Linked DNA regions of Cricetulus griseus. The protein of the gene in region 1 interacts with the protein of each later gene in a biochemical or structural test. Links are inferred from orthologs where the notes say so. Each region holds a gene or a part of one and is shown on either strand. Other genes may lie near its edges.

Region 1 (4,441 bases):
AATAAACAACACTGTCAAAGGAGTTTAAGCAGTTTTCCAGTTAGACTTGGAAACCAAGGCAACCCCTCTAAGTTACATAGGAGTCCAACTGGACAAACAGCTTTCACAACAACCCTAAAAATAGCGAGTCTTCATAAATTTCTGAAACTGTCCTTCTACTCTGGACAGCCCTTGGTCTCTAGCTGTAAAACCTGGCCCACTGTGGTACATTTACATGTTGGTTTTATGTTACTAAAAGCCCTGTAGACCGCTCAGATCTTGGGCCTTATCCAATCTTAAACACAAGTAGAGAAAACACTCGGAAGGCAGACGGTAGTTTCCATACAGCCAGAAACTGACAAGAAAACTTAAGTACCCAGACGACGAAGGTACTCCAAAGCACCATGAAAGCTAAACTCAGATCCTAGATTACATGGTCCCAGCTGCAGGAATAGCTGCTGTGAGTCTGGAATGACTCAAGTCTCCACAGTTTCTTGCAGCAACACTTCTACTTTTGTTACAGTAACAAACAGTCACCACAGTGAGATCTACACATATACAGAAGTATTATATTTAAATTCATATGGAATAATATTTACATGTTAATTAAGTTATATGTATGAAATTAAGAAAAGTCCAGGTGATGGTTTACAAACAAACAGAAGAAAAATATACAAGATAGGAAAAGAGCCAACGGGAAATGCCACTATCTGGCCCTGCCACAGCAAGCAGGGACTCCACAGAAAAATATACAAGACAGGAGGAGAGCCAACAGTAAATGCCACTATCTGGCCCTGCCACAGCAAGCAGGGACTCCACAGAAAGCTACATCTTCTTAATCTGATTGTCCAAGTCATCAAAGTACGGGTGCTTCAGGGCCATTTTGCCAGAGATTCGTTTGGCAGGATCATAGACTAGCATTTTCTGGAGAGAAAAAAAAGAAGAAATAAACTTAGAAAATGAGCCCTTTAAAATCCCATAAGCTGTAGCTTCTTCCAGCAGTGAGCCATATTAGTAATTTCAGTGAGGGCCTGCTTAGGGGGATCTTAACTTCACCAGCTCACTACCAAGCCTGCCCTCTTACCCCTCCCCTCCAAGATGCTAAACTCAGACTTCTGTTATAACTTATAAGATTATTAACAGGTAGCCTCTGTTATAAATTATAAAATAAACACTCAGATGGCTTTAAAACCAAAGCATACATTTACAGACGTAAATACATTATCGTAATGTAAATACGTAAATACATTACAGACGTAAATACAAAGCATACATTACAGTTAATTATATCTACCTTGAGAATTACACGTCCGTTATTCACAACATTCCTGAAAAGGTGGTGATCAACTATTGTGTTTCATGATAGTGTCCAGACGACACTTGCCCAAACCAAAGGAAAACACCCACGATGTGTTTTTATAAACACAGCTACAATAGATGGATTATTTACAGTAAACCAATTTATAAACTCCAGAGAAAGTATTTGATTTTAGTTTGTTCACACATATTATCTTCAGAGAAAATTAAGTCAATAACATCCTACCCCAACCAATGTAGTGATTCAAGGATGGCCTGGAATCTCCTGATCCTCCTGCCTACACCTCCCAAATGCTGAGATTATAGGCAGGTGCCACACCAGGTTTGTATGGAGCTAGAGATCAAGCCCAAGGTTTTCCTGCATGCTGGGCATGACACTGGCGGGGCTATAGCCTCAGGCCCTACAGATACTTGCTAACTAGTTACCAATTAAACTCTTGTACTCATTCAGAATTGTATGAAGGCTTTGAGGACATGTCAGTTAATCCTCACAGCAAAAGGGAGAGAGATATGCTGTACTCCCCAGATGAAGACACCACATCTCTTCAGGACATTAAGAAAGTTGCCCACATCTGTAAATGTGGGGAGAAATAAACTGAAATCTGAAGCCAAGTCCACTCAATAATCTAGTGGTTTCCATCTGTGGGAAATCTTGCTTCTCAGGGGCCTGCCAAGGATACAGACATTGCTGACTGTAGCACATCAGTCTTCTGATAGTTTAGAGGACAATGACACTGCCACAATGTCCAGCAACTGACAGGGCCACAGCAAGAATTAGCTAGCTCAGGGTGTCAGCTCAACTGAGGAAATTGGTGTACAGAACTAACTTTTGTTAAGTGAAAGTTTTTATGTTCAAAGACTTGAGAGCTAAGGATATAGCCCAGCAGAGTTCATGGCCAACCCCCATGGAAACCCTACCTTCCATCCATGAACCCCCTCCTGCCTAAAACCATAAAACAAATAAACAAACAAGAGATAGGAACTTTAGACATGACCAGAAGATTGGGCCCAGGATATTAATATGCAAAATGTATAAAGGCTGGAGCTTGGACAAATCTGTGACACAATCTATAGATTGTAACAGCTGAAAGACGAAGTGGAACATGTATGTATTTGATTCCTTTTATAAATTAAAATTTAAATACCGCTCTACCTACAACAAATTCCCTAAAGTAGGTTTTAACAGTAATTCTGTTCTTTGCATTATTTTTTAAAGAAAATAACTAACTGGGTGCAGCAATGTAACGGAAAAAAACAAAAACTACATTAGTCTTTCCAAGCCTTTCTTAGGCCAGACCTGAGAAACGGTGTTTACGCTGTAAAAAGCCTGAATAACTCAAATTATCAAATCAAGCAGTTGTCAACAGAATGCAGAATGATAAACACACAAAACAGCCAGAAAGGAGTCATTCGGATTCAGCAACACACTCTCAACTAAAACAGTGTGTGAGTGTGAGCCCTGGCCCCTGATGCAGTGTATCCACAGCAACCTGCCGATCGAGAAGTGATAAAGTCTAATCCTGAAGGTTACTCAGGACCACCAGCACTTCCTATCTTAGAGGCACCTAACGCCACATCTGCCTCCAGGACTGAGTATGTTCAGTCACTCCTGTGTCACTCACTATGAACATGCAAGCACACTACACTCAAACCGTAAAGCACAGCTGGCTTACTGAGAGCAAATCCAAGCCGTTTTCATCCAGGTTCTTGACATGGGATGCGAGGCTCCCCGGCTTCCACTTGGGAAATGTGTTCTTGTAGTCCTGCAGAGACTCTACTTCTGGCCACACTTCGTTGTTAGGAGTCCCCAGAGCTCTGAAAGAAACAAAATGGGATCACATACACGGTGCTTTATTATTTAACCTTATAAGCTTTTAATAGCTTAGGTATAAAACACAATTACCTGAAAATCCTGAAGAGCTGGTCAATCTCTGAATCGCCATGGAAAAGCGGCTTCTTAGTTGCTAGTTCTGCAAATATGGTGCCTATACTCCAGATGTCAACAGGGGTGGAGTAACGAGCTGATCCCAGCAACACTTCTGGAGATCGGTACCATAGTGTCACTACCTGGTACAAGACAGAGCACAGCGTAAACATGCCACATACAGCTGCTTCACTGGCTTGTCTTTCAGAAAGTTTTGCAGGCCTCACTAGCAGCTTAAGTCAATATACAAATAAACTTCTTGCTTTTCAAATCATCGAAGTAGAAGGACCAAAGTAGCTAAAGCCTGGCTAGGCTTAATCGCACACACCTCTAATCGCCGCACTTTAGCACTCTGATGGCAGAGGCAGGCAGATCTCTGTGAGTTCAAGGCCAGCCTGATCTACAAAGTGAGTTCCAGGCTAGCCAGAGCTATATAGTGAGACCCTATAGTCTCGAAAACAAACAACAAAATAGTTAAAGCCTGATATATTTAAAAAAAAAAAATTACAGCAGAAAAAGTACTAATAAATAATGGTTTAGGAATTGTACTGTACAAAGTTCAGAGTTTTTTACATGTTGACACAGCAGCTAAAATTAACATGCATAAAACACACCACAAAAAAAAAAAAACAAATGATTTAGAACTAATCAACCATAGTAGTATATTCATCAAAATAGTGATGCTATGACTTCTAAGAACCACACTAATGGGGTTAATAGCAGTTATAGCCATCAAAGAAAATTCAAGTAACTGTGTCAAATAAAAAGGAATAAACGAGGTAGGGCTGAGAGGTCAGTCAGTGGAGAGCTTGCCTGTCAGGCATCATGTGTAGGATCTAATCCCCAGAACTGCATTCCCCAGGCACAGCAGTGCACACGAACGACCTCCGTACCCAAGAGGCAAAGGCGAGCATCAACAGCCATCCAGAGAATTTGAGGCCAGCCAGGGCTACAGAAAACCCTGCCTCAAAAAAAAACAAAAGAAACAAGGAGGGAAAGGGACAGGAGTCCACCTGACACGATGGACTCCAAGTTCACAACTCCCCAGATGTCAATGTTCTTGCACTTTACAAGTCACTGCCCTTTCACAAACACCAGAGGAACCCAGTCTAATGATGCAGACCACAATCCCAGCTGCAGGGAAATGAGGCAGCATTCACAAAGCCTATCTGGTCCACTGACTTCAAGGCCAGTCAGGGCAAATTAGTAAGACCTTTTCTC
Region 2 (4,146 bases), on another chromosome or scaffold:
TTTTCGAGACAGGGTTTCTCTATGGTTTTGGAGGCTGTCCTGGAGCTCTTGTAGACCAGACTGGTCTCAACTCACAGTGATCACCTAGCCTCTGCCTCCGAGTGCTGGGATTAAAGGCGTGTGCCACCAACACCCAGCTGAAAAGCAGCAATTTTTAACCCCAGCACCATATCTCTAGTCCTGTAACCTAATTTTTGTTTGTTTGTTTGTTTGTTGAGAAAAAGTTTCTCTGTGTAGCTTTAGAGCTTGTCCTGGAACTCATTCTGTAGACTAGGTTGGCCTCAAACTCAACCTAATTTTTTAGGGGGGAAAAAAAAAGGTATTTTTCAAAAGTCAGGAATATTCATCACCTATGTCCACTGACCCTTGATCCTGAAAACCTTGAAAAGGACCTGCAATACCATGTATAAAGACACATGATCTGAGCACAATGGAGCATGAGGCTACTCCCAAGTTCTGGTTCATATTCTGTGACGACAGAGCAAGGCCATAGACAGCCAGCCTGTGGTCTGCTATTTTATCAAAGAAATTGATGAAGATCAAAGTACCTAACCTGTGGTAAGGATTATGTGTGATAACATTCAAAGAACAGCTAGAGATGACTGATAACAAGAGCAAACAAATTTTGATTATAGCAACCCTAGCGAGGGCTCGGTAAAAGTAAGCTAGCTGTTGCTGCCATTATTATAACCCTGGCGGGCCCTCTCTAGAGAGTTAAGTTTCAGTGGGCTGCATCTCACCCAGGTATTCTCCTCTTCCAAACAGACTAACAAATGTCTGTGCTCCATTCCTGGAGACAATTAAGACATATGTATTCTTTGTCCTTAAGAAAGCATTATTTAGATACATACAAATCCCAACAAGACTATTTCTGAGCAGTCACACGGGGAACAAACCAAGGTCTTAGGTCCTTCCCATTACTTCCCAAACACCACACTAAAAGCGTAAGGTTAACAACGAAAGCAGACAGTGAACTATGCACAGATATACCCTAAGGAAATTAACAAATTCTATCAACTGTCTCCCAAACTGCTAAGAAAGTGTCTCTAGTGCATTCTCTTTCTAAGACTCCTAAAAACACATCCTAGATCTGAAATCCCCCCTGGCAGAACTTGTGGGTGCTTCCGCCATAACTGCACGAGACTCTGGTGTAGCAAGGAGCTGTCCTTGGCCACAGTGCAGCAGTAACAGACCCAGCCTTGTGTTTTGTGAAGAAGAGCAATTATACATGATGAATAACTTGTCCGTCAACCCAGTGGTAGGAGATATGTTCAAGTTATGCCACAGGTATTGACTTCCAATGCAAGGCTTTGCTTGGAATGCTGGGAATAAGCAATCAGGTCAGTAGCATCAAAATGCAAAAGTTGTAAATGGACCAGAACAGCTCGCCCACCCTCTCCCATCCCCCTCCTAAGTCACACAGTGGTCTATGCAGGCCGCTATGGAAGATCAAACTAGAGCTCAGGTTTCTGCCTCAAACCCTGACCAGGATGTCAGCCAATGTCCCTTCCCAGGAGGACAGCTCAGGTGCAGGTCTCACATGGAATCTTCAAAAAGAAGAACTCTCTAGGTTTCAAAATAACATGCCTTTTCCTCCCAGGATCAGTGGGGTGATGTCTGCGCCTGCAGCCTATCTAGGGACTAAGCGCTTACAAATAAACAGAATTTAAAATTCACATTGAAAACCAGTGGGTAAGCCAGGGTTTGAAAACCAATTATGTAACAATAAAGTCTCCAAATTCACTGTTGGACACCTAAACAAATATCCAGAATCTTGCAGGTCATTTGAGTTATTGAAATACAACTCCAACTCCACGGGTTTGCTTTCTACTGGAAAAGGTTACCAGGGTAAACCTCTACTGGCAACCTGGAGGGAGGGCCTGCATCAAACAGTAACTGAACTAACTCAACAGTCCAGGGGGAGGATTGTTTCAAAATCCCCTGGAGTGGTGAAAGAGCCTGGGAGCTCAGAAGAAAGTGAATGAAGTTATTTCAAAAATTCCAAAAAAACGGCAGCTTATGAAATCATTTTGGTTTCACAAATGTTTCATTATTGTGTTTGCCCTGTCCCCAAGTCCTCAAACACCCATTCTGGAAAAGGAAAGGGGGGGTGCTGTTGGTTTAGGGTTGACCTAGAGTGCAAGAAACCCCCATGACTGCCTATACTGGACATGCTGGCACTCCTCTGTGATCCCAACATCCTGAAGTCCAAGGAAGGAAGGTCAGAAGTTCAAGATCATCCTGGGCTACACAGGTCTCCTCCGGAGGGTCTCAATAAATTTTTTTTTTTAAAAAAATGAAGAGCTGGGAGAAAAGCGGGTAAACTATTAGAAGACCTGGCTGGGGTCCCAGGAGTTCTTGTCGACTGCACAAACCCTCAGGCCTCATGGCAGACACCTGCCTGCATGGCAGGCAGACCCAAAGTCGTTCAAGAGTTCCCGTATGATTTCGGCCATGCCCCCCCACTCCCCCACCATCCCCTGAGTTTAACTCCTGAGTTTAAATCTCAGAAAGTCAACTCTCCGGGCTTCTCAGGGCCGGTGCAGGGCCTCGGGTCTGAGTTTCCTGGACACCGAGGCTCAGTTTACAGACAGCCCAGCTAACCTAGAGCCCTAGGAAGCCTGAGCCCTGGGGTCACAGACTTCAACAGTGCCTCACTTACTCTCCGAGTCGCTGAAGCCGCTGCTGTCACTGACGCTGGCGCTGCTGCGCCGCTTCATGCGTTCCAGGTGCTCCTCATAGTGGAAGTGGCGGGCATGGAAGGGCGATGCAAAATCGGCCAGCACAGCATCGAACTCGCACAGCACGTCCGTCAGGTCTGCAGCAGCCGCTGAGTCCATGGCCGGGGCTGGGGGCGGGCACAGAGCATTCAGTTGATGGGAGCGTGCGTGGGGGTGACTCTTCCCCAGCCCGTGGGGGATCTGGAGAGGCGGTCACCGGACTAGGATAGCTAACTGCACCCCCAGTGACAGCCGCCCTCCAAGGCGCCTGTCACCAGACACAGACGAGCAGCAGCCTCCGTGGGTGGAGCTGAAAGCCTGGAAGGCACCTAGCCCACCCCACGCGCTTTCCTACTTGTGCCCACGCTCACTCCCTGGAGCGAGTGGCGGCGGGAAGCCTGAGTCAGCGAGCACCCGTTACGTGTCAGGCTCAGATCTTGTCCCGCGTGGGAAAACAAACGGAACCGGCCCGGACCGTGCGACCAGGGGATGGGGTGCCGGGGTGACGGAGGACGGAAGGATGGGCAGTGGAAAGGGACCGTCGCGACCGGTGTTCTCTCGGCCCCACCTGCAGGCTCGGGCTCTCAGGGGCCCCGGGACTCGGGGTGTAGCTTAGATGGACAGAGTCCCTAGCTTCGATCCCGGGGCTCAGAGGTGGAGCGGGCACCCCCAACGCGGCACTCACCTGCGGCTGCGGCCGCAGCAGGGCTGCCCTGAGTTGAGGGCGGCTTCATGGAGAGGTTGCTCGCCGCACGCGTGGCAGAGATGCTGAGAGGTGCTGGCCCTGGTGGCTGCCGCCTTGCACTGCAGTCCGCTCCGCTCCGGTGGCCCTGCCTCGCTCCTTGCCGAGCGCTCGCTCCTCGCTTGCGCCTCCACCCCCAACTGCACCTTCTTATAGCCACCGGCAGGGGCGGGGCGGGCGGGGCGGGGAGGGACGGCGGCGGAGTCTGTTCCAGACGACTTAGGGGACGCCCCTGTCCTCCCCCATCCCCTACCCCGGCACCGCCCTCGCCACGCGCCCGCCGACTGGGAACCGCAGTGACGACTTGTGTCGCTGGAGCCCAGGTTACCGCCCCAAATATTTACCCGCCGCGTTCCCCGCCACCCTGACAACCCGACCCACGGAAGTGTCTTTGCTGGCCCCACAGTCCTCCAAGAGTTTATCCTGCTTCCCGCCGTCTGCCCGAGCCTCCTTGAGCCTCAGTTTCCTCATCTATGAAAAGGAACTGCAAATGTAGAGCCTCCTTGCTTGCTACAAAAATAAAGGAACCGAGGGCCTCGGGAGGTTGTACGAGGGCAGAGTCCCGCGTCCTTCCCCCCATTTCCTAAGGAATTTACAAGATTGTGTGTGCACAGAGTGGTCAGCCACGCGCCCTGGGCTGAGGTGAATGCAGACTTCAACTGAGGTGATCTCAGAACTCAGGGT

What was found.
Region 2: of the proteins of Cdk1 (region 1) and Rgcc, one has a biochemical effect on the other in vitro, tested with the Homo sapiens proteins (2 studies listed by BioGRID and IntAct). The link is inferred for Cricetulus griseus from reciprocal best matches to the Homo sapiens genes CDK1 and RGCC.

Annotation. Positions count from the first base shown.
Region 1 is NW_023276806.1:268,286,575-268,291,015, reverse strand, and holds the end of Cdk1 (cyclin-dependent kinase 1), read right to left. Parts: intron 3,364-4,441; coding exon 3,200-3,363; intron 3,112-3,199; coding exon 2,970-3,111; intron 904-2,969; coding exon 805-903; 3' UTR 527-804; downstream 1-526. UniProt on the Homo sapiens protein: Plays a key role in the control of the eukaryotic cell cycle by modulating the centrosome cycle as well as mitotic onset; promotes G2-M transition via association with multiple interphase cyclins.
Region 2 is NW_023276807.1:233,634,891-233,639,036, forward strand, and holds the start of Rgcc (regulator of cell cycle RGCC), read right to left. Parts: upstream 2,841-4,146; coding exon 2,663-2,840; intron 1-2,662. UniProt on the Homo sapiens protein: Modulates the activity of cell cycle-specific kinases. Enhances CDK1 activity. May contribute to the regulation of the cell cycle. May inhibit growth of glioma cells by promoting arrest of mitotic progression at the G2/M transition.